Linked DNA regions of Saccharomyces cerevisiae S288C. The protein of the gene in region 3 purifies or fractionates together with the protein of the main gene of each other region. This does not show direct contact. Each region holds a gene or a part of one and is shown on either strand. Other genes may lie near its edges. The genes, in order: ESF2, UTP8, UTP13 and UTP18.

What was found.
Region 1: the proteins of UTP13 (region 3) and ESF2 purify together in Saccharomyces cerevisiae (affinity purification with mass spectrometry; 2 studies listed by BioGRID). This does not show direct contact.
Region 2: the proteins of UTP13 (region 3) and UTP8 purify together in Saccharomyces cerevisiae (affinity purification with mass spectrometry; 2 studies listed by BioGRID, with this or other methods). This does not show direct contact.
Region 4: the proteins of UTP13 (region 3) and UTP18 purify together in Saccharomyces cerevisiae (affinity purification with mass spectrometry; 7 studies listed by BioGRID). This does not show direct contact.

What each region holds. Positions count from the first base shown.
Region 1 is NC_001146.8:721,116-728,626, forward strand, and holds ESF2 (RNA-binding ATPase activator ESF2), read right to left. Parts: upstream 3,192-7,511; coding exon 2,241-3,191; downstream 1-2,240. Other genes in the region: putative GTPase NOG2, read right to left, coding at 5-655, 1,188-1,997; HOL1 (Hol1p), read right to left, coding at 7,311-7,511. UniProt on the Saccharomyces cerevisiae protein: Involved in the small subunit (SSU) processome assembly and function, and in the 18S rRNA synthesis. Required for the early cleavages at sites A0, A1 and A2. Stimulates DBP8 RNA helicase ATPase activity.
Region 2 is NC_001139.9:744,620-753,391, reverse strand, and holds UTP8 (Utp8p), read left to right. Parts: upstream 1-3,300; coding exon 3,301-5,442; downstream 5,443-8,772. Other genes in the region: YGR130C (uncharacterized protein), read left to right, coding at 1-1,998; SYF2 (Syf2p), read right to left, coding at 2,345-2,992; YGR127W (uncharacterized protein), read right to left, coding at 5,656-6,594; YGR126W (uncharacterized protein), read right to left, coding at 6,865-7,557; VSB1 (Vsb1p), read right to left, coding at 7,957-8,772. UniProt on the Saccharomyces cerevisiae protein: Involved in nucleolar processing of pre-18S ribosomal RNA. Also has a role in nuclear tRNA export. It acts between the steps of tRNA maturation/aminoacylation and its subsequent translocation out of the nucleus.
Region 3 is NC_001144.5:577,080-586,191, forward strand, and holds UTP13 (U3 snoRNA-associated protein UTP13), read right to left. Parts: upstream 4,693-9,112; coding exon 2,239-4,692; downstream 1-2,238. Other genes in the region: CCC1 (Ccc1p), read left to right, coding at 1-714; RSA3 (Rsa3p), read right to left, coding at 1,283-1,945; IFH1 (Ifh1p), read right to left, coding at 5,154-8,411. UniProt on the Saccharomyces cerevisiae protein: Involved in nucleolar processing of pre-18S ribosomal RNA.
Region 4 is NC_001142.9:306,219-314,318, forward strand, and holds UTP18 (Utp18p), read right to left. Parts: upstream 6,489-8,100; coding exon 4,704-6,488; downstream 1-4,703. Other genes in the region: ARG2 (acetyl-CoA:L-glutamate N-acetyltransferase), read left to right, coding at 1-1,638; YJL070C (metallo-dependent hydrolase superfamily protein), read right to left, coding at 1,753-4,419; YJL068C (S-formylglutathione hydrolase), read right to left, coding at 6,798-7,697; MPM1 (Mpm1p), read right to left, coding at 7,896-8,100. UniProt on the Saccharomyces cerevisiae protein: Involved in nucleolar processing of pre-18S ribosomal RNA and ribosome assembly.

The DNA.
Region 1 (7,511 bases), on a different chromosome or scaffold from region 3:
ACCTCTATGCCGTCTTCTCAACTTCTTTCTTCTTTGGTTTTTCTTCCCCTTCCTTTTCAGGTGGAAGGACGAACCAAGGGATTTTACCTCTATTAAAATCATTCAATATTTGCTTAGAAACACCAGACTCATCAGGCTCACCACCCTTCAGTAATCTACCTTGTTTCCTTGCCAGAATTTCAATAAACTCCGTGGCATCCTTCCATCCTGAGATCTCGTAAGTTCTTTCCAAGTGCTTTACCTGACAACGTTTTAAAACACCTGGAATATATTGTTCTGGGTGTGTGACGTGTTCGACTCTGACAACACCTCTGAATAAAATGTCTTCTTCGGAGTCTTTACTAGAAGGCGGCACAATACCTGGACAATCAATCAAAAAAATTCTTTTCATAAGAGTAATATATTGCCAGACCTTAGTTTCACCAGGGATTGGTGCAACTTGACACACCTTTTTCTTTCTCAATGTGTTAATGATGGACGATTTACCAGTGTTTGGATAGCCGATAAACCCTACAGATATTTGCTTTCTATCAGTATGCAACTGTGAGAACTGACGTAGCAACTGAATTAACGAACCTTTACCGAAAGAGTTGGTAATAGATGCGTGAAACGCCAAAGTTGGACGTTCCTTTGACAAATGTTTGACCCAAGCTGCCTACTTGTAAAGTTAGAATTGAAAAAAAAAAACCTTCTGTTAGTAAAAAATACATTTTGTTTCATAATAGGTAATCTTTTGCCCCAAGAGAATGTAATAATCATTGTTATAGCCGAGATTGATTGTTTCGAAGAGTGGATTAAACTAAAAAAAAAAAAAAAGTAGAAAATTGTGAGGATCTTTACTACGAACATATTGTATGGAGCCCGAGATAAAGTCTCAAATAACAAAAGCTCAACTCATAAGATCCTCGCTGTTCTAAAAAGCGAAGGTATACCTTTAAAACAAAGGTTGTCCTTCTAATTTACCCATGAGGCTTCCCCAGAACGGGGAAATATGGATAAGCGAACAGTATTACTCTTCCAAAACAGTAACAGACACTTCTGTAGATAAGTTTATCCTAAAACGGATAGAGAAGCACCCTGACAAAAAGGTTTGGTAATAAAAATCATACTCTATCGAAAAAAAAAATCTCTCGTGCTATCCTCTTGGTTGGAAAGAATCAAAAAAAAAAAAAAAAAAGTTAACATACTGCAACCCAGGTAGGTACCAAATCACACTTATTAAGAACATAAATTAAATGCTTGTGTGGTGTTTCCTTCTTCATATACTCTTCCACGGACTTACAACGGGTACCCAATGGATCCCTTGCATCTAGAACATGTATTACCACGTCAGACGAATCGATGACTTTATATAATTCGTTCCAAATACGTTTGGATTGACCCTTACTGAAAATAGCTTCTTTTGCTGCGGAGGTCCACCCATTTTCTTTGTCTTCCTGGTTCCCCATTAGTCCTAATGTGGCATCTAAGACTTGCTTTTCCTCATACTTGGTAATGTCTTCATTTGTAGCCTTGACCAAGTCCTCTAGATTGGATGCAGCAAGACGTGGTCTCTTTCTTTGGGCTTTGGGCCCAAACGCATCAGCATAACTTTCGGTATCCAAAATTCTGGCTTTTGGGGATTCATCTGCGTCCTTTTCTTCCAACAATGACATGGGAAGCTTATTTCTTCTCAGAAGAACTTGATATGTATCTTTTTGGGTTTCACCCAATGCACTTCTGAAATGCTGCAGTGCGTCCTGAGATATCACTCTTGTGTTACCGAACCAACGACGATCTGGTTGGACCCTCGCATCCGGTATTGTGGAGTCCTGGAAAGAAGCGGCCCTAATTAAATTACCTTTCTTATTCCTGATCTCCTTCCCACTAGTGTACATATTCAGGAATTTGACTCTCTTGGAGTCTCTGTAGAAATTTTCACCCTTCACACGAAGATTACCATCTTTGGTGTCACCTTCACGAATACGTCTAGATTTCTCTTTCTTACCAGTACCCATTGTATTATTCCTCCCCTGATATTTAGTGGTTTTGCTGCAAGTCAACAGATCTTCAAAGTTAACACTTAAGGGAAAGTACTAACAAGTAGTAAATATCTTTTATATATTCTACGCTTCTTTATATGCCCAAAAAGAAGAAAAGTGAAAAATTTTTCTTCAAGCGAAAAATTTTTGCGATGAGCATCGGGCAAAAAAACGTGCTAAATGACAGGTTGTGTTTATATATTTGTTATTGATTCTATATTATAGTAAATTGGTGAGAACATTACCCAAGTCTTTGGACCCAGAGGATTGCTGCTTGATATCAGAGGGAGCATTGGCACGGCTTGTTTCCACACGACGTTGTTTAAATTCCCTGTGAGGGTGAGAATCTGCAGACTCTCCTTCTTTTCCGGCGCGCTTCCTAGAGTTCTTAATGTTTTGTATCATCTTACTTTGCTCCACGTTTCTAATGAATTCCGCGTTCAGTTTGTTGGCCTGCGAGATTTCCATCTCCAACTTGGCCTGTCTGATATCGTTCTCGCGGGCAATCTGTTCAGTCAAATCTGCCCATTTGAAACCTGGGAGGTACTTCACGTTCAGGATATCATCATGGTAGAAAGTACCTTTCTTGCCACCAATAATGTTCCCGTTCAACGTCTCCGCACACAATTTGGCGTCTCTTTTCCTAATAAACTCGGCCCAACCTTCTTCATACTTGTTTTTCTTGTTTCCTCCACCTTTAACTCTTTGCTTGTACTTTTGATCGTCCTCTTTCTTTAGAAATAGTCTATCTACCTCACCAAAACGAGTTAATATTTGTCTCATTTTTGCAGGTTTCATGTAAGGTGGAATACTGGAGAAGTATACCACCCCAGTCTTGTGTTTAGACTTCTTGGCGGCCTTTGATTTTACCAGTTGCCTTAGTTTTTCTGTTTTTAAATCCAGTGAAGTGGTGGACGAAGCTTGTTCTTCTACTTCTCGATCGAGCTTTTCTCCATTCTCTTTATCTGGTTGTTCTACATCCTCTTTTTCTTCTTGTTTTTGCTCTTCTTCTATGTCTGACTCGTTTTCACTTTCGATGTCTTCTACCTTCTTACTGAAGATATCATCCTTACTAGAAATTTTTTTCTTGGTCTGAATTAAGACGTTATGTTGATCGGTTTCCTCATCTGAGGAAAAGTCTTCAAAGTCACTATTTACTTTTTCACTCATGCGTAAAAATTTACTTCACTCTGCTGCAGTAAACTGTTTGCTTTGTACTTACATAGCAATGGGTAGTTTGTCAGGTTGAAATTTTTCAAAATCTTAATAGCGAAAGTTTTACTGCGCAATGTGAGAAAAGCTGGCTATAACGAAGTAATTCAAAATAATAAAACAAGAGAAAGAAAAAATTTACACGTCATTGCCTTTGGAAATGTGATCAGACAGACCCAATATCACCGTTTAAATATTCTTCACGAGATAATGTAGTTTGTCAATTGAAACGCTATTTGGTGGCTGGCTAATCAAATATGGTCGATGAAGGGGTTGTCAATCCAGCAGCCCTTAAAGAATTGTCGCTATCTGTTTGTTCCTATAATTAATTTGCACTGAAAAGATACATGTGCATTATTGCAGTATATTATAAGGAATTCCGGAGTTTTCTAGTAACTTTCTAGTCGCGCAACCGAGAGATGAGTACTACAACGCAACCTATTTGGTAGTGCATCCTACACATTGTGAACGTTTTTGGTTCATATTACAATATTACGATATTACGAATTTTACCCTTTCTTTAATACTAACTTTGATCAGAAAGCACCTTTATCAATATGGCCACGTCTGGGAAGTCGGTCATAATCAAAAGGCTACAGGCTTTGGGGTTTGAAATATCAATATACGAATTGTGAGACTTTGTTTTATCTTAGGGACGAAAATGGATGTGTGAAATTACTTATGGAAGGATCAATAATAGCAACGTTTGCTAATGTGTTAAGATGGCAAAATGCTACTGGTACGCCTCGTTGAGTATCCATCATTATTAATAGCGCCAAAATTGAAACATTAATTGCGGTTTTAGAACAACTTTAGAATTACAGAGCAAGGTGATAAGATCTCAATAGCTTATGAAAAATAATAATTTTTTAGAACCTAATGAACGTGTCGAAACTTTCCGCAAAATATTATGTACATCTCTACTCAACCTTCTATTAGGATCATGAGAAATGTGTTAAAACAGAAAAAATGCACCCTCATAATAAAAAACTTGGCCAAACCAAACCCTTTCTAGTACATCGATATGTATATCACACAATAAAGTCAATGCAGCATAACTTAGAATCGAGGTAGCGACTCCCCGTATTGCTCAAAATGGAAAATTCTATGGAAATAGAATTCATATGACTCTGAGAACTAAAGGAACATTATGACGAACAAAATTGCTATGATGTGAGGAATAAGATGATACAGTCCTACCAAATACCAAAGATCGGGTCGTCGAGGGCGGTATCATATCTAGGGAGATTTCTTTTCAATTAGAGCATATTCATTATCAAGTAACCACCATTTGTATTTTTTTTTTCTTCTCAAGGTAGTTATTCTGTTCTGACGTGCAGAAGATGGGCGTAGCATTGACACAAAGATTCAGTGGGAAACTATATATCCATATCTCATCCTGGTTTGGAAAATGAAGAGCTGCATACTTATATGAGGGAAAGAAGGCTAAACAAAATATACGTAAAGCAACTATCAAGAGCCAATGGAATCTATTTTCAAAATTTGCGTTCTTCCAAAACATTTATCCCGTTTGATGCATTAATGAAAATTATGAACATTTATTTCCTTACCACACGTACATTGGGTGCTCTACTTTCTTTTTTATTTAAGCATATAAAATGTACACAGTAGTAAAATACCATTTTAAAATATTATTTGAACAATCATAGAACACTACGCAGGTATTCTTCTTCAAAAAGATAGCTTCAATGTATTTCATGTATCTGAAAACGCTTTGTCTTGCCATTAAAGATCTGGTGGCCCCGACAAAATAAAAAAAAATACTGAAGGATGCGAGGTTCGAACTCGCGCGGACAACCGTCCAACAGATCTTAAGTCTGCCGCCTTAGACCACTCGGCCAACCCTCCAAAGATTTATACTTTTTGTTGTATCTCAAAATGAGATACGTCAGTATGACATTTTGAGATCCTAAACGTTCATAAAACACATATGAAACAACCTTATAACAAAACGAACAACATGAGACAAAACCCGTCCTTCCCTAGCTGAACTACCCAAAAGTATAAATGCCTGAACAATTAGTTTAGATCCGAGATTCCGCGCTTCCACCACTTAGCATGATTCATATTTTATATAATATATAAGATAAGTAACATTCCGTGAATTAATCTGATAAACTGTTTTGACAACTGGTTACTTCCCTAAGACTGTTTATATTAGGATTGTCAAGACACTCCGGTATTACTCGAGCCCGTAATACAACACTTTTTATCGTATTTCAGGTAGTATACCACATCATTATTTGAAGAGTGGGTGAGTTTTGAGATAATTGTTGGGATTCCATTGTGATTAAGGCTATAATATTAGGTATGTAGATATACTAGAAGTTCTCCTCGAGGATTTAGGAATCCATAAAAGGGAATCTGCAATTCTACACAATTCTATAAATATTATTATCATCATTTTATATGTTAATATTCATTGATCCTATTACATTATCAATCCTTGCGTTTCAGCTTCCACTAATTTAGATGACTATTTCTCATCATTTGCGTCATCTTCTAACACCGTATATGATAATATACTAGTAACGTAAATACTAGTTAGTAGATGATAGTTGATTTTTATTCCAACATTATTGTACTCAGCAATTGTTGCGAAACAGACAAGATTAAGTATATTATTCAAGGCCTTGCTTACCTAGATGAACCATTGAGAAATATACATATTGAGCAATACCTCTAGGTCCGAAGTTCCGTGCCTACACCCTTTAGTCAGATTTAGATTATATGAGATAAGTGGTATTTTGTGGACCAAGTTTGTGATTAATCTGATATCAAGTTACTTTCTTAACGACATTAGGACGCCAGGGTAGCCAGTATTATTCAAGTCCATAGAACAGCCTGTATACCTTCACTTCATTAGGTATATTCTTGGTTATGCGTTATTTAAATCCTCATCTGCCGCTGCTTAAAAAAAGCAGCTAAAGTGTTGCGTAGGCACTTCGAACAAGTAGTCAGTAATATCACCTTTTAACATCTAATCATCAAAAGAGACATTTTTTGGGATTAATTGTTTATAAAAGCTATGAACTTAGGTCTACAGAATGTACCAAAAGTTATCCTGTAGGATATAGGAATCTACGAAAGGGGCCCGATACTTCTATATAATATATATTTTTATTTCTCCTTCAATTTTATACGTTGTCATTCCTTATCCTATTACTTCATCAATTCTTGCAATTCAACATCCAATAACTTTGATAACTGTTTCCCATCAATTATGTCGTCATTTTACACTGTATATGATACAAGTAGTATGAGTACACACCAATAGATGATTAATTTTTTCCGACAATCAAATATTGGGATCATAAACACACATAATCGCCATATCCGTTAATTCGGGTTTCAATCACTTCGTTTGTCTATCGTATCGCAGCCTAGTGAATATTTAATTCTTTCAATAAAAAAGGCTTAAAATCACCATGAAAATCACAAGAGGAATCTTTCAACAAGAACAATAGTATACAATCCATGAATGAAGGAGTTCATATTTGACTAGAACTATACAAAGGTTTTGTACTGTTTTTACTGTGAGGGTAGCATCTCATTTATCCAGAATCTCAGAAGGGAGAAACCCAATCGCTAAATCGATATTATCACCCAGAAGTTTCAAATAGGCGATTGTAGAATATACACAGGGACAACCACTCAGTTTATGGCTTCAGTGCGCGCCCAGTTCTGGAGGAAAGCATTATCGAAGTAATAAAACTTTAAAAAAGCTCTCCGCAACTAATGAGGATTGCAGTATCCAGATACCCTTGTTTTCTGCCAAATGAACACTTTTACTATGTCATATAAACAAAAAGTGCCATTTCTTGGTACTGCTTCAGTCTTAGGAATGGTCAATACGTTATTATTACTTAAATATACGATTAATAACATGCTCTGTTGCGTATTTAGTAAGTGTGTAAGGAAACTGTAATATTACCTAACCGGTATCCCACGTGTTTCACGAAGGGCGCTTTTGTTGTTGCAATTATAATCCTAGTTAGGTAAAAAAAAAATACTTAATTCCTATCATCTACTAGATACAAGAAAGACGTCTCTGAATTACACACCGTCTCTCAAATTGACAGATTGCAAATACCATCTCTTAGTCCAAAGTCTTATCCTCTTACCATAGTAGTACATTGGTAAAGCAAATGCAGTAATCCCAAAGTTGATGACAGCTAAAGCAATGTAAGTATTTTCAGTACCAGATGCAGCTAGCCAATCAGAACAGGTAAAGGTGAAAATGCAAGATATCGTGTT
Region 2 (8,772 bases), on a different chromosome or scaffold from region 3:
ACTAAGGATGAAAAAGATGACACTGACACTACTACTTCTTCGTCCACTTCTACATCATCATCGTCATCGTCATCGTCATCGTCATCGTCATCGTCTTCATCAGATGAAGGGGACGTTACTTCTACTACCACATCTGAGGCCACTGAAGCAACTGCTGACACTGCAACTACGACAACCACTACCACCAGTACTTCTACTACCAGCACTTCTACTACTAATGCTGTCGAAAATAGTGCTGATGAAGCAACTTCCGTGGAGGAAGAACATGAAGACAAAGTGAGTGAGTCTACTTCAATTGGCAAAGGCACTGCTGATTCAGCTCAAATTAATGTAGCGGAACCAATCTCATCCGAGAATGGGGTGTTGGAACCACGCACTACAGATCAAAGTGGCGGTTCAAAGTCAGGTGTCGTGCCAACAGACGAACAAAAGGAGGAAAAATCCGATGTAAAAAAAGTCAATCCTCCCAGTGGGGAAGAAAAAAAGGAAGTGGAAGCGGAAGGGGATGCAGAAGAGGAAACCGAACAATCGTCTGCAGAGGAATCTGCTGAGAGAACGTCTACTCCAGAAACCTCGGAACCGGAATCCGAAGAAGATGAAAGCCCAATCGATCCAAGCAAGGCTCCCAAGGTCCCTTTTCAGGAACCTTCTCGAAAGGAAAGAACCGGAATTTTCGCTTTATGGAAAAGCCCTACTTCTTCATCTACCCAAAAAAGTAAGACCGCCGCTCCATCCAATCCAGTGGCCACTCCAGAAAATCCTGAATTAATTGTAAAGACAAAAGAACATGGTTACCTATCAAAGGCAGTTTATGATAAAATCAATTATGATGAAAAAATTCATCAAGCATGGTTAGCTGATCTTCGAGCAAAGGAAAAGGATAAATATGATGCTAAAAATAAAGAATACAAAGAAAAGCTACAAGATTTACAAAATCAGATTGACGAAATTGAAAATTCAATGAAGGCCATGAGAGAAGAAACTTCTGAGAAAATTGAAGTTAGTAAAAACCGGTTGGTCAAAAAAATCATTGATGTTAATGCCGAGCATAATAATAAGAAACTAATGATATTAAAAGACACTGAAAATATGAAAAACCAAAAGTTGCAGGAGAAAAATGAGGTCTTGGACAAACAAACCAACGTTAAGTCAGAAATCGATGATTTGAACAATGAGAAAACGAATGTCCAAAAGGAGTTCAATGACTGGACCACGAACTTAAGTAACTTATCTCAACAGTTGGATGCTCAGATCTTTAAGATTAACCAGATTAATTTGAAACAAGGCAAAGTTCAAAACGAAATCGATAATCTGGAAAAGAAAAAGGAGGATTTGGTTACCCAAACTGAAGAAAATAAGAAGCTGCATGAAAAAAATGTACAAGTTTTGGAAAGTGTAGAGAACAAGGAATATCTTCCACAAATTAATGATATTGATAATCAAATATCAAGCTTATTGAACGAAGTGACCATAATCAAGCAGGAAAACGCCAATGAAAAAACTCAACTATCGGCAATTACCAAAAGACTCGAAGATGAGCGCCGCGCTCATGAAGAACAGTTGAAGCTAGAAGCTGAAGAAAGAAAACGCAAAGAAGAGAACTTATTGGAAAAACAGCGCCAAGAGCTGGAGGAACAAGCGCATCAGGCTCAATTAGATCATGAGCAGCAAATTACTCAAGTCAAGCAAACCTATAATGACCAATTGACTGAACTACAGGATAAGCTGGCAACCGAAGAGAAAGAACTGGAGGCAGTCAAGAGGGAAAGAACGCGATTACAAGCTGAAAAGGCTATCGAGGAACAAACTCGCCAGAAAAACGCTGATGAGGCCTTGAAGCAAGAAATATTGAGTAGGCAGCACAAACAAGCTGAAGGTATACACGCGGCTGAAAACCACAAAATACCAAATGACCGTTCACAAAAGAATACGAGCGTCCTTCCAAAGGACGATTCCTTGTATGAATATCATACTGAGGAAGACGTCATGTATGCCTAAAAAAAATAATATTCCACTTTTGTTCAAGGAATATCCCACCTCTATTTTATTTTTCTCTTCTATTCTTTGTCGAGTATCATCAAGTTATCCTTTGATTATTTTCACCCTTCCTAATCTACCTCTCTTTGTAACCGTTTTATGTACCAATATTTACTCAATCAACAATTTATCAACCAGTTAGTTATTCTCTAGTGTTTCGTGCTCAAATAACCGAGTAAGATGGACTCTCTTCTGAAGCACTTTTGCGGGCATTTAACCTCAGCTCGTCACGTGACGGTCGATGAAAAATCCAGGGTATTAAAACTTTCCTTTGGTTATATCGGTATATTCTAAATAAAAGAGAAGCTTATTCTGATCCTTTTGATTCCCTGCTCAATTTTTCATTGAATTGTTTATTTTTGTCATTAATGAAGCTTTCAACCCCATACAGTGTTTTTGCATTTTGCATTTGTCTTTTTCTTGCTTCGTATCTTTTTTTCGACTCAGATTGCAAAGAAACGGCCAACTTATTAACTAGCTTGTCGTCATCTGCAATTGTTATCTTACCCGTCTTAGTGTCCTTCTGTACCTTGCCGATTCTACCCTTCTTGGGTACGTTTTTATTGTCTTCTTCATCGGCGGAACTATCCTGTTTGCTCGAATTCTGTGTTTGCGTAGCGAGATTCCGCAAGGTCTTCTCATAACTCAATTTTGCAAGTTGATCATAGGAAATTCCACCTCTTTGGCTTTGCCCAGTCTTCCCTTGAGGATGCCTACGTTCCCACGCATCATATTCTTGGACAGTGTAATGAAATGCTTTCTCTTTTTCAGGACTTTCTGTATCTCCTACTGATTCATCTGCATCATTTACGTCTTCCATACTGTATACTCTTGGTTTTCGATTTGCGCTTACTTCCTGAATCTCTCTGTCAGCCAACTTCCTACTCTTTATAGATACATCTACTCTTTTCCTTTTCAACTCCTTCAGCTTCTCGTCTAATTTGTAAAAATCCATTCTTCGAATACTTTGACAAGATATGGTTTTGCTTCGCTTACAGTTCAATAGAGAAGTCAAACATTGTCATTGAGAGCCCCTCATCGCAAATATTGCTCTTTTAAGGAAAATATAGTAATATTCTAGCTTTTTTGTCATTCTACACGGAAATGTCTGTATTTTTCAAATTTTTTCATTATGCTGTAGCAGATGCCTGAAAAATTTGAAAACTTTGATGAGATGAGGTCACTGTTAAATTTGTAATATTATATGTCACACCTAGCGCTCCTTGAACAGCAAATCATTCCGGAGGATAGTAAAGATTCAAAATGCCATCCCTGTCTCAACCATTTAGACTAGCAACTCTCCCAAAAATTGCTTCATTGAGCAATTTTTCTTTACAAGCAGATTACGTTCAAGTCGCAGATGGCACCTTTAATGAATCTACAAATAACATAACGTTAGGTATTTCCGGGTCATCTATATCTCAATATATTATTAATCCTACACCAAAGTTAACATTCGATTACCCAATACCCTCTACAAATATTATCACGGCATGCAATGCTGAGAAAGGTCAAGCGAACATTGACGGAAATATAGAAGCCAGTACCGATGATGAAGCCAACAACGAGAAGACTATCAACACCCAAAAAAAAAGAAATGTTGAAATTTGGGCCTTTGGTTTAATGGTAAATAAGGGTAATTATACGCTAAATGTTATCACTAAGGCACTGGAAGATACCACTGATACCTCAAATGACCATCTGAGTGAGAGTGATATTGACAATAAAGCATACACGGGTTCAGACGAATTTTTATCTCAGTATAAGATCAAGGCGAAAGCCAAAGTCATGAGTATTAAAATTGACACCAAGAACAGCTTAGTAATTGCAATTTTACAGAACGGGTTGATTGAAATTTTTGATTTTAAGTTAACACTTTTGCATTCATTTGATATATCTTATGATAACTTAAAATATGCTAAATGGTTCACTGAAAATGGAACTGAATATGTTTTTGTTCTCTGTCCATTACAGGATGATAAAGTCTGCTATAAATTGCTCGAGCTAACAGATTGTGGCAGTGGAGAAAGTTCGCCCATAAAAGAATTATCATCTACTATCATCGAAGGATTTTCTTTTGAAAATTCAAAGCTTTGTTATCAATTTGGAAAACTTTACAAATTGAACCAGGGGAAAATATACATTTACTCTTTACCACATTGCCAATTGCAACAAGTTATTGAATTTCCGATGGTGGATAAACTCAGTCCTGGAGATGACTTAATCTCTTTCCAACCTGTTTCAGTAAACAGAGTTCTACTGACCGTAAACAACGTCATTTATCTACTAGACTTACTGCATTGTTCTACTTTAAGCCAAAGAGAATTAACTCACGTGAAAACATTCCAACTATTAAAATCTGCAGTGATCAATTCAGAAAAGTCGCATAATTCAAAAACAATAGCAATTGGTATTTCAACGAAAAATGGACCAAACCCAACGTCTTCCTTAGAAATAATTAATATTGATGTTGGAACTAATACGTTGAAGGACTCATTAGGCAAGAGTTTTCAAGTTGGAAATAATGATAGCTCAGTTATTTTAAAGCCGCTATTTGATGATAAAGACATAAATGACAAGAGAGTGAAATGTAACGACGTCAGCGGGGATTCAAGCGTTCCAGTCCTCCACTGTAATGAAGTTATTGAAAAGCTTTCAGCCCTTCAAGATAATGACATTACATCATTTGATGACATATTTTTCAAAGAACTAAAAATCAAAGAAGAACATTATACTGAAAAAGATAGATATATTTCTGATCCTGGCTTTTTGAATAAAGTTTTAGATCTAATTTTCGGAAAGTTTAGCGGAAATGATTATCCAAAAACTTTAACGTTTTTATTGACACACCCATTGTTTCCATTGAGTCGTACACGCAACTTGCTATCCTTACTAAGAGACCAACCTAGATTATTTAAACAAGCAATTGTAACATGCCCAAACTTGCCATTAAATGAACTACTTGAAGAATTGTTTTCTATCAGAAACAGGGAACTATTACTTGATATCTCATTTAGGATTTTGCAGGATTTCACCAGAGACTCTATTAAACAAGAAATGAAGAAACTAAGTAAATTAGACGTTCAAAATTTCATTGAGTTCATAACAAGCGGTGGTGAAGACAGCTCACCAGAATGCTTCAACCCTAGCCAAAGCACGCAGCTATTTCAACTCTTGTCCCTTGTGCTAGATTCTATCGGGCTATTTTCATTAGAAGGTGCTCTATTGGAGAACTTAACCTTATATATTGACAAACAAGTTGAGATTGCTGAAAGAAATACCGAATTGTGGAATTTGATTGATACGAAAGGTTTTCAGCATGGGTTTGCTAGCTCAACCTTTGATAACGGAACTTCTCAGAAGCGAGCCTTACCCACTTACACCATGGAATACTTGGACATTTGAGTATGCAATGAATTTGATTGTATTGTATAATACCTATATAGAAAAGGAACTAATATATATAGCGTCTACTGTGGTTACTGATAAACTAACAGGCATTTAGAATTTGAAAACATCATATACATTAGATGTGTCCAACAAGAGATACCGGAATGTTCTGAGGGGAAGAAGATGGAATTTAAAGCTAGTTTGAAATAAAATGGAAGATTGTGATTTTTACAATTTGAATTTAAACCTTTTTTCCTCCTTAGGTGAGGTTACCGAATACTTGCGCACGTCTTCATCTGAGCTATAAAGGACCCTTTCTATAAAGGTAACTCTCGTTGAATCCTTACTCACGAGTAAAACTATTTGAGAGCGAGTTCCGTAGTAATCACCATCAGGAATTGAGGCACCTAAGTCATCCCTGGGAGGCCTCCGTAAAGGTGGTACGTATATGGTATTCATGGTTACATTTGGATCTACCATCTGCAAGACATCTGGGTTTGAAATAGTGCTTGGAAGGGAAGACTTCGAGGCGAGTTGAAAGCAACTTGATATTATTTTCTCCTCATCTGATTCAATATTCTCTAAAACTAGATTTTCTAAACTATCACGTGCTACCTTTACTTTTTCCCAAGCCTGCCCTGGTATACTGGAGCTGTCATAAAATTTACCATTAGAAACAACCATGTAAGAATCAAGATCTTTCCTACAGGTAGAACTCAACACATCAAAAGTTCTTCCTAGAGAATCAATAACTTTATATTGCTTTTTGATAACGTCGCCGTAAAAAAAATTAAAATCACCTGTGGACTTCAACCCATCATAGTGACCTTCAAACTTTTTGTAATTATCCCAATCTTCAAAATCTGCTTTATGGATCGACAAAAATATAAATGGTAACAGACCACGGGATCTTGATTTCGTATTATTTTGCTCATTGTCAAGTTTTAAATTAAGAATAGTGGCTAATTTTCCTTCTTTATTTATGCCAGACCAAGTGCCAAATATTTGTTTTTCTGCTGAGGTTTTGGCCAGATCGTAGGGTGAAAGGATAAAATCATTGTTATGCCAGCATGTAGCATGTGTTTTTCTTGCCAAGAATTCGTCTCTGTTAGATATTAAGATGAGTTCATAGTCAGGATGTGCCCTTGTGGCCATTAAAATGCACATTATTTGTTCGTTAGTTTTTGGTTTTTAATACTTTAGCCACAGGTGTGTTAATAAATGCAAGCGTTTCTTTCCTTTTCTGCCTCACTTCATATACTACTATCCTACTCCACTTTCAGGGGGAGACTATTTTTTTAGCGCTTTAGGAATTGAACGAAAAAGTCGAAAGCTAGGCAGATGCCAAGAATATAATGTGAGGCAAAAAAAAAAAAAAAAAAAAAAAAAGAATGATTCTGAAGTAAACGCATTGCGAACTAAATGTTGCTATGCCACTTAATCGAAAATTCTATGAAAAAACCCCTTGATCCCCTTTTCTGATTTATGTTTTTGATATTTTTCGATCCTCTTCTTATTCTTCTCTACTGCCATGTTCAACTTGTTTGGTTCTAGAGAAGAACCTTGAGAATTTGTAGTAACCTTGGATCGTGTCGAATGCATATCTGTATGGTCGTTAATATGCTCTTTTTTAGTTGAGGATACGCGAGAGTCCTCCCTCTTCAAACTTTCAAGCGTCTTCAATTTGACCAACCCGGTTTCAGTTTCTAAACGATACTCTTCTGGAAATGCAGCATCGTGAGCTGAGTTTGTTACTGGGGCGGTAATATCCGGAAGAGCTTTCTTGTTCAAATTTAAACCATCTTCTTTTAAGGAATCAACTGTTTCTGAGTTGCCCTCTAAAGCATTGTGGGTAACCATCTTTTCTATCGAATTTGAAGTTGGCCTTTTTAAAGTACTAGAACTGTGATGAGAATGCACATCTGAATGACGGTGTTGATCATCTACATTACTATCATCTTCCAGTTGCCCCTTTCCAACAATGGTATCGTTTTTTAAAAGAGGCTGTTCTGGAGCTTCAGAATCTTTGAACCCAGTAAAGGGCTCCGGTTTGTAAGAGTCAATAGAAGAAAAGGACGATATGTCTTCATATTCATTATCGGTAGTGACAGTAACAGATGGGACAGGCATAGTCTACGTTGATACGTTGTTATGACTTTGATTTGTTAATGCGGATATAAACTAACCGTACAACTACCCGTTGTGAATTGTTGTGGTAGTATATTAATGAAAAAAGTAACGGTATTTTTTTTCTTTAGGAGAGCAATTAAGTCAAGTGAGGTATGTAGTTGCTCATCGATGGGAATTATCACTTTTCGTCTACGATAGGGGCCCTATCAAAGAAAATCGCGCAGTAAAATTCCGGAAGTGAAGACTCAAGTACAAAAAGTTTATAGTCGAGATGGTAAAAATCCTACAACGGCATCACTTATACAGATGCAGGAGCATCCTGCTTTTATTTAGTACTGGTGTAAATTACTTGCAATACGCCGGCAATAAAAGAAATTAAATAAATATACGTGTACGCTCTCATGCGCTAACAAGTGTGTAACCTAGTAATTCTTTGAATCTGGTGTCCTTGATACACATGACCATTAATGCAACCTCCACGTACAATGCTAGATTGTCTTCTTTCAATTTGTTCAACGAGCTAGAGTCTATAACCCATAATACGGAATCAGTTTCAGTTTCGATGGTGAGCTTTTGTTCTCTAGGCATAGCATTCCCTGGCGCAATGATTTTTCCGAAGCATGTGCCATTTGAAAAAATCTCGTACAAGGTTCCTTGTGGTAGTTCATATGTTGCCTTCAACATACCTGTTTCCACAAGGAAAAAAATGTTGTCTGCATGTAGTAAATGTGATTGACTTGCTAATCTGCGCCTGGTGAAGTAGGGGCAGAGTTGTGCCCAAAACTTGATTTCCTTTTCTCTTACTTTTTGAACTTCAGATATTATATCGGGTCGGTACTGCTTTAATGCAAATAACAATATAGGCAGGACAGGTTCATCATCTTTGTACTCCTTTTTGAAATTCTTCACTGCTTGTTCGTCGTTTACAAATACATTCTGTGCTACAGAAAGTATTTGGTAATTACGAGGAGTATTGGTTGGTAGTGACATTAAGTTTCTCGCTGTGTCTCCATTGCTTCCCCTGTTTAAACCATTTCCTATTGTATCAATTTTTTTGTTTTTAGTGGCTGCAATTACTGCGGATACGACATTATTTTGCTTTCCTTCTTCCAATCTTTCTTTCGCCTTTTTTCTTAATTGTTTATATTGAAAAAGGAATTCGTTTTCACACCATTCCAACGCACTGTTTAAATCAGCAAATAATTCCACATCGTT
Region 3 (9,112 bases):
GAAAAGGCGAACCTAGGGTTCTTCCAATCAGTAGATCCTCGCGTAATTAGCGATTTGATTATCGGGCTAAGCGACGGTTTAACCGTCCCCTTTGCTCTAACAGCTGGTCTATCTTCACTTGGTGATGCGAAATTGGTCATTACCGGTGGCTTTGCTGAGTTGATCTCAGGTGCGATTTCTATGGGCCTTGGTGGCTATTTGGGAGCGAAGAGTGAATCTGATTATTATCATGCTGAAGTAAAGAAGGAGAAAAGGAAATTTTACGATAACTCCAACCTAATTAACAGAGAAATTGAAGACATTCTGTTAGAGATTAACCCTAATTTCTCGGACGAAACAATCGTTTCGTTCATCAAAGATTTACAAAGAACACCTGAGCTAATGGTTGACTTCATTATCAGGTACGGTAGGGGTCTAGACGAACCTGCCGAGAATAGAGAACTAATCAGTGCAGTCACTATCGGTGGCGGTTATCTACTTGGTGGGCTAGTACCACTAGTGCCATATTTTTTTGTCTCAGATGTGGGCACAGGTCTCATTTATTCTATAATAGTCATGGTTGTAACATTATTCTGGTTTGGTTACGTAAAGACAAAACTATCCATGGGTAGTGGCAGTTCGACTTCAAAGAAAGTTACGGAAGGTGTTGAAATGGTTGTTGTGGGTGGTGTAGCAGCAGGTGCGGCTTGGTTCTTTGTTAAGTTACTGGGTTAAGTGTAAAGTAACAACACTATACATATTTATTGTAAAGAAATTTGGGATTGAGAAGCTTTGCTATATACTTGGAACTGGGCTGGATTTTCTCGACATACATTTCTTTTACGTTTTAATTTGTTTCTATATTCTCCTCTTTAAATTTATTTATATTAATGAATTTCAAACTAGTTTCTTTTTCTATTGCCAAGAGGCCCATCAGGTGATCCATGATAACCTTTATTCGCATTGAATCGTTTTTCATTGGATCTAATTCGTCATTTGGTCGCCGCCTTTCTTTGCTCCTTCTGCTTTTTTCTTTTTCTCTTTGACTATCAGGTCATAAGATCTTCTCCTCCATTATGCCCAAGTGTTTTTCTTTTTTTTGCCTTTATATAAATTACAAAATACATACATATACTTCTCGTGCAGTATACTGGAATCAGCTTTATACCATATGAAGCACAACTTGGATCAGGACCGCTCTTCATTAAAAATCGAAGAATTATCTAAATAATTAATGTGCACGTCAATATATTCTCCGCGGAAACATGACAAACTTTTAGAAAAAGATTTAAAGCAATATTTTTCAGTTCTCCATTTCTTTATTTTTCAAGACCAATTCTAGTTCACCAATATCAAACATTCCTATGCCTTCCTGCAGAGCATCTGCCAAAATGGATAGTGATTTATTCGTGAAATCCGGGGCAGCTCTAAGACGATTGATATCATCACCGTAGTTTTCAAAAAGTAAATTTAAGTATTCTTCCCTTAACTTTGTCTTGTCTTTCCCTTTGGGCACAAAGTTTTCTGCCAATTCATTGTATTCTTCTCTCGCAAGCTTGATATTTTCGGCAATTTTCGATGCATTCATAAAACCCTCCTTGTTTTGAGATTTCGTAGGCTCTGGGATCTTGCTCAAAGAAATTTTGGTTAAATCGTCTATCACTTCTTTTGAATTTAACTTCAAATCCTTGCTTTCTTCGTCTGTAAGCTCGACATCCGAAACTTCTATTGCAATGTCCTCTTGTTTGTCTTCGTCATTACCTTTTGAGAAAACATGATCACTTTTACCATTTTCTCCAACGTGTTCTTCGATGGCCCCATTTTGGATTTCCTCCTTTTCACTTTCTGATGATGGATCCGATGATGAAGAATCTGATGATGAAACATCAGCTGTTCTTCTCTTCTTCCTCCTTCTGTTTTTTTTGACAGACTTGATATTTATGGCTGATATATCACCTGCCGACATCCTGTATAATATATTATGGCTAGTTCTTTCCGTGCTATTTCAAGTGGGCAGTTTAAATTCTTGTATATATTACTACAATATATGAAAGTTTTCGCTCTTCGTTTTTTGCAAATTTTTAGTGATGAGCTCTTCGCGCAAAGAAGTTTTCAATGCCCGTAAAGGCACCTAATTATATATCGAATTATTTTAAGCTTTCCGCTTCATCAATGCATTTTGTCTTTATATATCTAGTTTACAAAATAATATGTTGCTATTGCCTTGCTTTTAAAGGCTCAATATCTTGGACTTACTGCCTAGAATAGCTTATCCATTTCCACTAGCGCGTAGTCTAATATGTAACTTTGTTCAACTAAGTTATCAACCCTTGTGAAATGCCTTTGCGTGTATGGAATTATTGCATCAACTATCTTTACCATTCCGGGTATCTCACTCAATTTTGCTATGTTATGATGCATCAAAATACATCTTATTGTTCTTTGCGCTATGGTATGTGTTTTTGCATTTGTATTCCAATCTCTGCATCGTTTCATTAACAAAATTAACTGTTCATCATTTAGGATAGAGATGGCTTGGTCCAATTCTTCATTGAAAATGACTTCAATTTTGCCCTCTTCGGTATCTTGTCTAGACCTTGATTCGCCCAAAGCTCTTTTCAAAACATTAAACAACCTCATTGGGTGATCTAAAGTCATTGCTAACAAAAATGCATTTGTCCAATCACCTTTGCTCATATAATTTTGAAGCGATTGTTCTTGTTCGACTTGTAATTTAGCTTTTTCTTGTTCTTCTTCTATTTCTTGTTCCGTACAATCTTTCCAAAACTGAAAAACACCATCTGCATCAGCACTTACGATCATATCACCATCATTCATAGTACTTAAAGCCCATAATCTATTATTATGACCATCCAAAGTCTTCAGACATTCACCGCTAGAACAATCCCATATTTTGATCAAGCCATCAGCACCACAACTGATCAGTTGTTTTTGCTTATTAATAAACGAACATCTTTGAACCGCATTGGTATGACCTTCCAATGTTTTCATAACGCTGAATGTATCCAATGACCATATCTTGACTGTTTTATCACCTGAAGAAGTTGCCAATAATTTATCATATTGGCAAAATGATACATCCCATAGTCCACGCTTGTGGTTGGCCAACGTGGCTTCCAATTCACCATTTTCTAGGTTCCAGATCTTACAGGTCTTGTCGTATGATGCTGTTGCAAAAATAGAATCGTTAGGAGAAACTGACAAAGCATTGATATCCTTTTCATGGGCATGACGAGTATATTCGGATACCTTGATGATTTGAACATCCATACTAGCAGTTGGCTTTGGAATTATCCATTTCTTAATTGTTAAATCATTCGATGCTGTCAATAAAAATTCAGGATATCCCTTTGAAACTATATTTGGCAATCCAACAGCAGTTACGGCAGCTGAATGACCAATATACTTGGCATAAATATCAAACTTGCAGCTGTTCTCATTGTATCTCCAAACAATAGCCGTATTATCTTTAGAGGCGGTTGCGATCCACAGGCCATCCTCAGTAGCATCCAATGAATTTAGCAAATCTTCATGACCTTCATAAATTTCGACATCCAAAGGCAGCGAAGCTTCTGGGCCTGATAAATCGGGGACGGGTATTATCCTAAGCGATGGAGAATTGGTAGCTAAAGCTAATTTATTCAGCTCTGGGCCAACATACCTCATGTCAGCAATAATACCATGATTACCAGCAATGCTCGAAGTGACCTGTATTGTGTCTTCATCATTCTTTAAGTCTTCTTCAACGTTAATTAGTTGTAATGTCTGGTCAGACAATACTAAAAACATCTGTGAATTGCTCAATATTGGAAGTACACCAATAATGAATAACTCTTCTATAGGTTTATTGGTTCTTTTAAGCACGCTACCAGATTCAGAGTCAATTAACTGAAAGATAGCATCACCGCCGGCTGTATAAATTATGCGTTTACCGTCACCATCCTTTAGGAATCCGCATGACTCTACCTGTTGATTTACTGGAAGTGTTTTCAACAATTTACATTTCTTTTTCATATTGAAATCCCAGAGATTGATGATATCGTCTCTACCACCGGAAAGTAAATTTAGGCTTGGCTCATCATTATCTGGTACCTCAATGATATCCAACCCTCTCACAGCAGATGTGTGCTCTTGTAATGTGTGCAAGCACTTCCTTTTAACAAGATCCCAAACCTTTACCATACCATTGGTGTCACCGGATGCTAATAACCATATTTTACTATTCAATTGTCCATAAAACTTCAAACTGGAAATTGTACCACCATGACCTTTGAACGAATGAGTAATGTAACCATTTTCAATATCCACAACAATTATACTACCATCTGTCCCTCCGACTGCGAGAAGCGTTGAAGTGGAATCTGCGTCGAGAATGTACGATGGAGAAGAGATTTTCATTGATCTGACAACTTTCCCGGTCTTAAGGTGAAAGATTTTTAAAAGCTGAGCTTGTGAAACATACGTGAGATATTGACCATCAGGAGTTAATTTCAGTGCAGTAATTTCTTGCTCGTCTTCATTAGAAATCTTGTGCAAAATTTTTCTGGAGCCTGGGGTTAAATCGATTATGTTGATTTCGTCAAGCACCGGAGTAGCTAGTATTTTACCATTTTCTGAAACAGTGGCAACAGCACTGCTTCCTGCATAAATAGGGTTTAACGATATACCTTTATATGAGGTTTTCAGATCCATATTGTACGTAGTATGGCTTACTACCGTTGAGAGTACTATGTTGTTGGTTCACACCTTTAATGCCATACCGCTATTATATCTGAGAGCGATGAGCTGAATTTTTCAGAAAATTTTCAGTCGCTTTACACGGATATATTAAGAAGCTCCATCTTAATCGCCAGAAGAGTGGATGAGGTTATCATCTCAACTAGAGTCGAAGAGTAAGGCAATCCATCAAATGGGGTTGCTTGAGGCTTATTTACTTTTATACGTCTGATTGGACGGATTATACCAGTAAAAAAAATATTGATTGTGTTTTTCTATAAAAATATGCATATATAAGTAAAAAAATAACATGTAATTCTTTTCAACCAACGATAAAGCAAAATTCAGAGTAGAATAAGGCAAAGTCACATACTGATGATGATATTGTAAACGAAAGGTGATTTGATTGTAGTAACCATAAAAAAATGCAAAATAGCTCATTGTAAGACGTCATTGAATTCGAATGAATGGTTAACATCATTGCCCATAATTCCTTCGATATCTGCCAATGCACTCTCACTAAATAAACCATTTTTAGTGAAACGAAGATTTTCAGCCGCTGCTTCCACCATACTTTGCCTTCTTCTCCACATGGAATTACTATTTTCATGGCTTAATGTATTGTCGAATTGCACAGGAGCGGTTAACGATGCTAGGATATCGGCGTCAGTATCTTCGATCACATGACCTTCTTGTGCATCATAACCGTTAATATCACCTACAGACAGTAAGTCATTTTCATCTTTGCCCAAAATCTCATGAATTTCATCTAAACCAACACTTTTTGTTGAATTTTTCCTTGTATTGCTGTCCACGGCAAGATCAGAATTATGAGGTATTAATGACGCATCTTCAGGTGCGTGAGAGGGAAGTTCATTCATAGGGGTATTTTCATTGGTTGTAAAATCGGTACCGGTATTTATGTCGCTATGGCTGTTATTGTTACCGATGATCTCATGGCCATTGATTCCCAATTGTAAATTCATAGTTTCTTGCTCCTTTATTGCCTTTTGTCTTTGCTTTCTTATTTTAAGAAGCTTCTTTTTTTTCTTTAACTGCCTTTTTTTTTCAGTTTTTTTCCGTTGTAGCTCTTTCATCTTATCAATCTTCTTTCTTGTTCTTTCATTACCAATATAGCCAATGGGAACTTTTCTGTTAGAATTTGCTGGTATCATGTACTCATCTTCTTCATAGGCATTAATACCCTTATTTCTAAATGCAGATAATGGAACCTTAGGAACTTCATACCAATCTGCAGCATGGCCATTTGTGCTTTTGCTATTAATTGCATCATTGTAATTGTTCTCCATATCGTCTGTGTGGGATGGTGAATCATCCTCCAATTCACTCATGTTTAGCAGCTCATTGAGTGTCAATTCGTCACCGTTATTGCCATTAGAGCTTCCCTCTCTTTTAACATCTGGGGTTTGAGCCCTTTGATGTTGCTCGCGAAGCTGTTGATGTTCTTGGATTAAGGCGTATAATGATTTAGTAGACAGACCATCAATAATACTAAAAGGTTTGTTGTCCGTCTCCCAAGTACCCAATTTTGGTGGACGTAATCCAACAACATTTGAACTTACGATTTCCTTTGCTTTTGAGCCAATGTTTTTTGACCTTGAACTTGGGGGCGGTAGGTTATCATCTTCATCTGTGGATTCGTCATCAACGTACACAACAGTCTCTAAGAGATCATGTTTGCAATCTTTGGATCCATCAGAATTTTCTTTGTCTGAGTTAGAACTTATCAAAGAGGAAGATCCATCGCTGTCGTAATGAAAGTAAAAAGAGTCTGGATCTAAATCATCGATGTCTATGAACACATTTGTCACGCTGGAATCATCGTCGTCGTCTTCGTAATCGTCGTCCAGTTCTGTGCCAATGTCTAAGCTATCTGAATCTAGTGCCCTCAATTCTTCATCCGTGTCAGCATCGTGGGACGTTTCAGATTCACTGCATTCATCATCTGAAGGCATATGGGCAACATCCAACAAAATGTTATCATATTCATCGTCAGAAGAATCATATTTCCCGGAATTCAGGACCGTACTATGAGTGGATGGTTCCAGATCATCATTGGATTTTATCAAATTCGAGCCTTTATTCTTATGTTCAATATGACTTTTGCCCGATTTATGCCTGCCTTTCTTGCTCTTATGGCCACTATTTTCATCATCTGATTGAAAAAAAACATTGAAAATATACTCATCATTGTCCACATTGGAGGTTGTTCTCGTACTAGGTTTTTGCGTCTTTTTATAGAGCTTTCGTCTTTGTTTCCTTTCTTCCTGTTCCCGTTTTTTGGCCTCTTTCTTTTTTAGTTTAGATAGTTTTTCATCATTTAGCATTAACGGTAAAGATGTACTCAAGGATAGCTTTGGCTCTGAACCATCGCCATAATAATAAAGATTTGCAAATTTAGGATCTTCATAAAACGGCATATCAAAATCAGACATTATTTCATCTTCTTCGTCATCTTCTTCATCATATCCGTTTTCTTGATTGTATTCATTTTGCAAAAATTTATTTTCAGCATCTTCTACAGGATCAGACCCTTCTTCGTGTATACTACCATCGAATGAGAGTTCGTCGTCATTTTGTAGCTCAGAAACAATGTTTTGTTCTTCTTCTTCCAATATGGGAAGATCGTCTTCCCCCGTTTCAAGATCTGTACCAATTTCTCCATGAGAATCTTCATTGTTAATCACGTCAAAGTACGCATCCTGGTCAATATCATATTCAGATTCATCTGACTCTGAAATATTGGGAAATCGTAACTCATCGTTGTTACCTAACATCACCTTAGAATCCAGTTTATCTTCTTCATTACCATTGTTCTCTTTGTTTTTTAAATCCAAGACTTCTTCACCTATATCCTCGTTATAGCCTTCATTACCATTACCAAAACTAATGCCGTCGTCCTCTTTTTTGAATTTAAACGATAGCGCCTGTTGTGTAGTAGTAGTGCCTGAACCGTTTACTTCTTTTTTGTTTGATTCTTGTTGTTTTTGTTGCTCTTCTTTCTCTTTTTCTTTTTCTTCTTTCTGCTCTTCTTCATTTTCTTTCTTAGGGGATAGTTTAACTGATTTATTTTTGTTACTGTTCTCACGAGAGGAATAGAGTGTATTGCTATTTGTATTCATGGCAGATAAAGCTTTCATGGCTCTTTTCTTTCTTTGGGCCGTCAGTTTGACAAAATCTATATTCTCGTCATCAGAACTTGTTTCGCTATCACTATCACTATCACTTCCGTCATCATCATCGTCGTCGTCGTCTTCGTCATCATCTTCTTCTTCTTCTTCACTCTCTTCTTCTTCATTTTCACTCTCTTCGCCATCTGTTACAGCTTGGTAATCGGATGACTCTGTGCCCTCGTCGTCATTGTCTATTTGCCTTTGTATAAGTTTACTTTTTTTTCCTTGGGAATTATTTGAAATGTTCTTTGCTTTTCTTTTAATTTTATGTGGGTTTGTACTTTTGTTTTTATCAGAATCAGATACGTCACTCAAGGATGACTCAGAAGAGTATATAAGGCTAAATCTTCTTGGCCTCGTTGTACTCAGTGTGGGTGGTGATTGCCTGGACTTTGTATCGGATTCGCCCTTTTTTATGAGCCTTTTAATATTTGCTGGCAGTTTACCAGAATGTGTACTATGATTGATCGTACTTTTTCGAGGACTTTTTTTGCCTGCCATTTCGTTCTGTTTCCAGTTTGCCGGTTGTTTTTTCCTTATTTGTTTATTTGCTTCCTTGTTGAATTTCCTTCAATTTCAACAAGCTTGAAAATGAATTTCGTAGAATGAATATTACTATGTTTGAAATGGTTATTGCTTATGATGCTCACCGAAGTTAAAAAAAATATTATAGGTTTGTCCTATGTTAGAATTGTGGAAAGGGAGGAATGTAATAAATAAGCAGTAATTAAATATAGCCTTTTGAAGAGTTCCTCCTTTTAATTTCTTGTAGCAAGTGTTTCGAATGTATTCAAATATTACCAATGATTATACAAATACTTACAGCAAGTCAATTAAAGAGCCGTAAAAGCTAAACGTCAAAACGTGTAAAGCACCTATTATCTAGTCTCTTTTCCCTAGTTGTACTTTAAATCAATTTAGTGATGAGATGAAAAAAAAAAAAAAAAAAAAAAGAATTCCAACGAAAAAGAAACGACGGGCAGGGCAACCTTTAGAGATTTCAATCCGTATAAAGAGATGTAGTAGGCAGTACGGGTAACATCGTCACAATTCATAATGGAACTATCTAGCTTTTGCTTGATTGCAAAGTTCTACACCCGTTGATACTTCAAACATCTTTGCAATACGTAGGTAGGGGTCGCGTACTAGCAGCCTCCTAGTTAAGTGTATCTTTCAATCGCATTACGGAACAACTAGGCATC
Region 4 (8,100 bases), on a different chromosome or scaffold from region 3:
ACCGCTACAAAACGAGAGGCTAAGGATTATCTCTCAAAATATACAAATGATAGTGGGCAGCATAATCATTGTTTGTTTTTTATCAGGGACCTGCATAAAGTCGCACCAGCGATTTTGTCCCAGTTTTCAAGTGTCATAAAGAGACTAGGAATGCTAGGTTTGCGACCTATGTTTGTAATTCCGCCGTCGCCAACTCATGTAAATATACAGGCAGAGTTACTTGACAGTATCGTTACAGAAGCAGATTTAAAGCCACTTCACCTTAAGGAGGGTCTTACTAAATCCCGCACTGGGTTATATCATTCTGTTTTTTCGCAAGAGAGTCGTTTCTTTGATATTGGAAATTCCAATTTTATACCAATTGTGAAACCTTATGTGTATAATGAAGAGACTGCTTCAGAATTCATGACAAAGGATGTTGTAAAATTTATGGATTGCCTGTGCCAAGGGAATATTCCACACATTGACAAATTCTTCATTCTAAATAATGCCGGAGGTATACCTTCGGGAGAGAGAAATGATAACGCTCATGTATTCATCAATCTTTCTCAGGAACTCGAGCATTTGTCCTCGTCATTATCTCACAATATAAGCACTCTAACCAAACGAGAGCCACGCTCCCAAAACCTGTTACACAGAATGGAGGTGTACGTTAAAAAAGATGAGATATCTTCCTTAGAATGTGAATACCATGATCATTTAGAAAACCTGTTATTGATGGACAAAGTTTTATCAAATCTAGCGGCTACAGCAACGGGACTGATTACAACTGTCAAAGCTGCCGCACTATCATCAGATAGGAAAAATCCTTTAGTATATAATTTATTGACAGACCGATCGCTAATTTCTTCTTCTTTACCAAGGTTTAAAAAAAAGGACGGCGAGATAGACTCACCAGCCAACATGTTTGATGATCACGCATGGTATGAATTGCCTTCCCAACAGGTAAATGCAGCTCCTTCTAACTCAGATGCAGTTTTAGTGACAACTGTTCTCAAAAAGGGCGTCCATATCAAAACTTATGACTATAAGACGCTGACTCAATTCAACTCAATTGGGCTTCCAAAGAAGTTTCACGTACCTGAGAAAGGAGCAAAACCCTCGAGCAATAGTCCAAAACTAGATATCAACAAATTTAAATCCATCATCGATCAGAGCTTTAAAAGATCTTTGGATTTGCATGACTACATAAAAAGGATTAATGGAAAAATAGCTACAATTATTGTGATAGGTGATTATGAAGGCATTGCAATTCTTACCTATGAAGGCTCGGAGGAAAATTCCTTTGTTTATCTCGATAAGTTCGCCGTTCTACCACACTTGAAAGGCTCGCTGGGTATATCTGATATAATCTTCAATTTGATGTTCAAAAAATTTCCTAATGAGATACTTTGGAGAAGCAGAAAAGACAATGTGGTGAACAAGTGGTATTTTCAACGTAGCGTTGCTGTGCTAGATTTGTCGATTGACTTAGACCCCGAACACTGTGATGAAAAGCAAAGCCAATTTAAACTATTTTACTACGGTAACCCTCAATACGCTAAGAGGGCACTACGTGACAAGAAACGTTTAAGAGAATTCATGAGGTCTGTCAGGGACATCAAGCCAAGTTGGGAAAATGAAAAAAATATTTCATGAAACAAAGACGCATTCTCCTCCTCCTTAACTTTCAAGTTTTCATTTTCAGTTTTTAAGGTATCTATATAAATATATATATCTTACTATGCAAAGTTGTTGATATTTCACTTTACCCTACCAAATGGAGTTAATTACTCCAAAGTGATCCCGAACGAAGTTCCACTCTTGATCCAATGTCTCCTTTCTATATCTTCTTCTAATCATCGGAACGTTGTGCTTTATCGAGGTATCTTTCGCTGTATCGTACCAATTATCTATCCCACCCACGTTCTCCTCAAAGTAAGGCGCCTTTTTAACTCCAACGCCAATCCAATGAGCCTTGTACCAACCTTCATAGCCACTAGATAGCACACTTGTTCTCGACAACTCGCACAAATCTGTTGGGTTCAGCAAGTAAATACTTGCTGCTACACTGTATTCTTCAATGAGAGGTTCTAGCGTGTATGAACTATTGTAAAGAATCGATTTTGATGATAAAGAAATTTTTAGTCCCATCTTAAACATTTTCATGAAAGGATTTGTCTCATATGATCTTTGTTCGCCCACAGTGATATCTCTAGAAGGATTGATTTTGGCTGTTTCCTGGTCTTTCAAATAATCATGTTCTAGAAGCACGTTTTTATTCTTCAAAAAGGTCGATTTTTGCGAATTCAGTAATGAAACAGATGATAATGGCGCAGCTAAAATGGGTATTTGAAAGAGATAAAATAAATATTGAATCATTGTTGCAGTATCCCAAAGCGGTTCTACCTGTAGCAGACCACCATTACAAAGCAGTAAGTTGCACACTAACGATTCAACTTGATCTGTAAAATATAAATCCACTCCAAATTGGGAAGTTCTGCTGGATAGTGGAGAACAATAATTTCTTAGGGTGATTGTATTTTGAAGATTTTGTGACCGCAGAAAATTAACTTTCGCTAAACTTTTATAAATATAATACATGTAATGCGCAACAGTTGGATTGTCACCCTGTGCTGTCCAAAATTTTGGCTTACAATTCATATCAGTAAATTCTTTCCAGTAATATTCATCCGACTCTTTAATGACCAGATCCATAGAACACACATTTGATAAAAAAAACTGCAGACCAATGATATCAGTATTTACAGATGAATCTATTGGTAACTGCTCCTTTTCCAGAGTGAATAAAGGATTGAAGATAAGATCCAAAAACTCCTGGAAATTTGACACGACATTTTCCTTGAATAGTTTGGGAAAAATCCTGGCAATTTGTATATTCCAGCGGATATTATACGATACTAGCTTCCATCGTAGCAACCATTGAGAAAATTTCTTGTACCAGTCTTCACCACTGGAATAGAATTGAAAATTAACTGATACTTGGGCCAATTGGTACTTTGATTTTTCGAGGATATGAATAACGTATTTTATGAAAATTTCTGCTAGGTACTCACCTTCAATGAAATTATCAAACTCCAGAAACACTTTGGCTAATAGGTAAAACCTCATTTCTTTGCCGACCAACTTTGCTACTTTGTTAGGAGTTAGATGGTAATCTATTAGGTAAATATTTCTATACCAATCCAAGAATTCATCATCAATCAATTTCAACCCAATCGCAATGGGTTGGTCATTAGAAGAACAACCAAACTGAAAAATGTCTCTCAAACTGAGTTTCCTTGACGTTTCCGGGTCTTGATAAACTATCCTTTCAGGTTCTAAATTTATTTTCTCCCATATATATTCACTCAATTGACGTTGAGAAATACAACCACTTAAAGACAAGTCTCGATCTACCTTACGAGAATTATAAAAATCTCTGTAGGGAACATTTTTATTAGCTAAAATTTCTTTCTTAGAGTTTAGGTACTGAAACAATTCAAATTTATCTAATAAATAAGATAATCGCTTTCGTGAAACCTCGTTGAATTTATGAGATTGGATTAACTCTATTATGTATGCAAAATCATCCCTAAATTCTTGAAACGTAGGCACATCTGTTAAAAATTCTTCCTCTAGTGACTCCTCCTTACTAGAATAAGGTGAAAGTGGGTTTTGCGTATTTTCCTGATTACTTAAATGGTAAATGTATTGTTTTTTGTAATCCTCTAAATCGAAATATTCACCGGTGTATGGTACTTTTATATTTCCTTTTCCTTTCAAACCAGATTTTGTGTAGTAGTAGTAGTGATCGGTAAAGTAACTTGGGTAATAGTAGCCATGGCGGTGCGGTGTAGCGGCTCCGGTCCCAGTACTGTCTCCATCGTCATTTAAGTCAGAGTCAGAGGGATCTTGGAATCGTTTATCGTCTTCAAATCTCCAAAACTTTGGCAGTGGTTTTGGGTATAAAAACCACTTTTCAGTGTCATTTTTTATGTTTGAAATGCCATCTTGTTTGGAAGCAGCAATGTATCTTTTTCTCATTTGAGAAACCAATTCAAACGGATTAATGAAAAGATCTTTAGTTTCTTCACCCGTTTTCAGATTTGAGGGCGTGTACGATGAGACAAAGCTGTCACTTTCTCCATTTCCATAATGATGGGAAACTGAAGGAAGTGGATCAATTTTGTTTTCTTCGTCTTCAAGATCGAAAAACATAGGTGAACCTAAAACCATTTGCCTGTCAAATTCCGTGGGCAAAGAAATCATATCCATATCATCGACTGATATTTCCTTCTGTTTCAAAACAGATGGGGAGACATCACCGTCATTCTCTGACAAGACCCTGGCTTCTTTATTCTTCGTCTCATTAGGCTTAGTAACAGAATTTTGATATTCGTCAAAGAGTAACGAGGGCCTTCTCTCTACCGCCTGCATAATTCCCAGCGAGATGAATAAGTAAAGTGAGATTTAGATAACTCTTACAGAGGATATTGAGAGGACATTTTAATCAAATTCTTTAAACTCAATGTCCCCTTTTTTTCCATATATTATATTTAATTTCTCGGACAATTTTTCATTTCTGACTATAAATGACAGCAAGAAAAAAGTGGGCAGAATCATATTCAATTTCAAGTTTCTTCGCAATTTTTTTACAGTGATATTTTGTGTATGTATTTGTACATTGCTTTTAATATCTAAGTTTGTCTATAAATGGAAATTTAGTAGTGGTTTAATTTCCAGAGCCTCACTTTACCTTGTTCGTTACCCACGGCCAGTAGCCCACCAGATGGCGAAAATGCGACACTGGTAACTTTACCCAAAGGCGTCCCGCTGGTAGGCCAGTTGCTGAACACGCTACAAGAAGGCAGATGAACTAGTCTCAAAGCATCCTTGACTGCACGGGATGCCATGCACAGTATTTGACCATCAGGGGAAAATTGTAGATTAGAAATGGTAGTTGTTAGCTGGTCCAAGGCGGCGACAGGTGTAGGGGTCGACGAGGTCATAGCATTATTTCTATCGTAAAGATTAACAAATCCACTCTCACTACCTACCGCAAGCCACCTATTTTGCTTTATCTTACTTATTTGAAGAGCCGGACAAGTAGTTGTTGTCCCACCACCAACTTGGATTTTTGTTATACCCACGCCACCTTGGTCTTTCCATCTTCTTATAACATGGCCATTCTTATTCAAGTCAAATTCCCACACTTCACCATACGCGTTTACAGCAATTAAAATGGTCCTAAACTTACCACGTGAAATAGGTTGATAATCGATACAGAAATCCGTTATCACACCTTCTATCTTGCAGCCCATTAACCATAGTCCGGAAGTGGAATGTAAAATGTTAATCCAACCATTATTACCCTGTAAAAGGACAATTCCATGGACAGAATTTGTTTGTGAATTCTGCAAATGTGCAACTTTGAAATTCTCAAATGATCTTTGAGTGGACTCATGTCCATACAATCTGGAAAATTTTTCGATTTTGGCAGTCTGTGAATGAGTTAAATTTTCTAAGGATAAGTCCCAGGAATGCATATATCTTCTTCTACCGGCGGTGAATATATTTTGTTGATTTTGGTTTGATAGAGAAGTATAGAAAGTACATGTTTGTATTGGAGACCCAACCAGGTGCAAACTTGTCACTAGATGGTTCGTTTTCCCGTCAATATGATATATTCTTAAGGTCTTATCATACCCACCCGTTAACAGTAGAGGCTTAGAAGGATGGAATGAAAGAGATTGTATGGCGGAATGAGACGGGTGTGATGCATTTGCATCTTTAAGACGCACAATGTCAAGTTTCTTAGGGGGTAATAGTTTGGAATTCGATAAAGTGTCTTTATAATTGTAAGTAGTAGACAGGATCTTCGTTAGAGCATTAATATCTCCATTAATAACATTATTAGAGCCTTCTTCTTCATCGTCTTCTTCGTCATCTAATTCAGAATCAGATTCATCGTCCACCCATTTGGGCCTTGGATATATCTTTTCAAACTGAGATCTCAATCTGTTGATGTAATGAACACCGTTGATTTTGGACTCGTTATAGGAGGTTCTTAATTTCTTTGTCTTATTGGTAACAAGAATAGGCACTTTAATTTTTTCATCATCCGAATCTATCCAAGCAGCTTCTTCAGAGTCCTCAGAATAATCATCGCTTGAAGAGTCATCTTCGTCATCCACGTCCATGGTATCTTCATTCTTATCTTGACTATCTTCGTTACCACCATCGTCCACAAAAAATAACTGATCGTTGTTAACATGGTCTAATTCACCGTTCTGCGCTTCATCTTCTTCACTGTTATCTGATTCAGATCCCTCATCCTCCTGGTCTTCAACATCCATTTCTTGTTCATTGAAAATGAAATCGGCATTAAATTTAGCGAGATTTTCTTGTAAATCTGTTGTATCACCGAATACAAATTTGGCTAGTAACTGTTCTTCTTCATCTGGTGGAGGTACGCTAACATTCATTGCGGTTGTTGCCATTGTCATTGTCGCACTAATGTAGGCTGATATACACTTTCAAGAACGATACCACAACAGGACCAGAGTGATCGATGAGATGAGGTGAAATTTTTTTATTTTTCGTTTTTTTCATTTCATATTATTAAATTCGTCGGATGTGATGCCAATTAACCACATAATAGCAATAGTAATGGAAGTTACAGGTGACATAAAATCTACTGCGAATAACCTTTGAAAGGATAACTATGTTTGGCCATTTTTTTCTACGGACGTATATTTCACTAAATATGTACATAGAAAAGTCATAAAAATTACCATAATGAAATGCGATGCCTCTCAAATCAAACCCAAGTTTCGCGCATGAAATTCAGCATGTTCTGGAACGAAAGTGCTGACAAAGTAATAGGAGTGATCAAAGCCGTGAACTTTTTTTATTTCCACGTAGTCCTGCCATGAAGTGGCTTTCACCGCCTCAAGTAGTAATTCCGGTTTCAAGTGTTCTTCCAAAAAGGGATCGGAGTCTCCTACATGGATCAAAATTCTGTCGTCGCCCACATGTCTAATATTCTTGATTAATAAACATGGGTCGTACGCTTCCCACTGGGCTTTTTCTTCGCCCAGATAACCTTTAAACGCTTTTTGACCCCAGGGAACGTTGGAAGGGTTCACGATAGGGGCGAAGGCAGAACAAGATTTGTATCTCTTTCCGGAATAGCCCTTCAAATACCCACAAATTGCACCATATCCCCCCATCGAATGGCCTGTGATGGCAACATTGTCCAAGAAGTCCAGCTTTACGTCACCGTTCTTGTTAAAATGAGAATCTAATGTTTGTGGGAGTTCTTTGTGAATGTAGTCGTACATCTGGTAATGTTGGGCGTATGGTTCTTGGGTGGCATTTAGATAGAATCCGGCGCCCTGTCCAAAATCCCAGGAGCCCTCAGGATCATTGGCTACTTCGTCACCACGTGGGGACGTATCCGGAAAGACTATTGCAAATCCGTACTTGTCAGCTTGAAACTGCCAAAAAGCCTTCTCAGAGGCGTTGTCTGGCGTGCACGTCAAGCCAGAAAGGTAAAACACAGTTGGGATACGCTTATTTCTTGGAAAATCTTGGGCGTAATAGTGCTTAGGCAAATAGATATTGACGTTCATGCTGGTCTTGGTAGAGTTCGAGTTATGTGACAACTTGATCAATCTGCCACCACAGACACTAAATTCCTTAACAACCTTCATATTGAACTATGTGAATCGCTTATATGTATTTTATTGATGCTATATATTGTCAAAAATGTGTATTGATCTTTTGTGTGTGTGTGTGTGGATCTCCCCTTAGCAGTCGCATGTTTTCCACACGCGCAAGGTCATAATCGTGCGATATATACAAGGCATATTGTGTAAGATATGAGTAAAAAAAGGAAACGAAAATATGTCCTAATTGTCTTCGTCAACACTCACCACTTTATGCTTCACCTGGGGACTGGAACCCTTGGAGGTAGTGGTGGTAGTAATGTCTACCGTGCCATCGTCAAAGTAGATTTTTTCAGTTTTGACGGTGCTGGGTTTTGCATCATTGGAATCCTTCGTGGTACTAATGGACTGTGCCCTTCCAACAATTTTCTTGGATCCATCTGCAGAA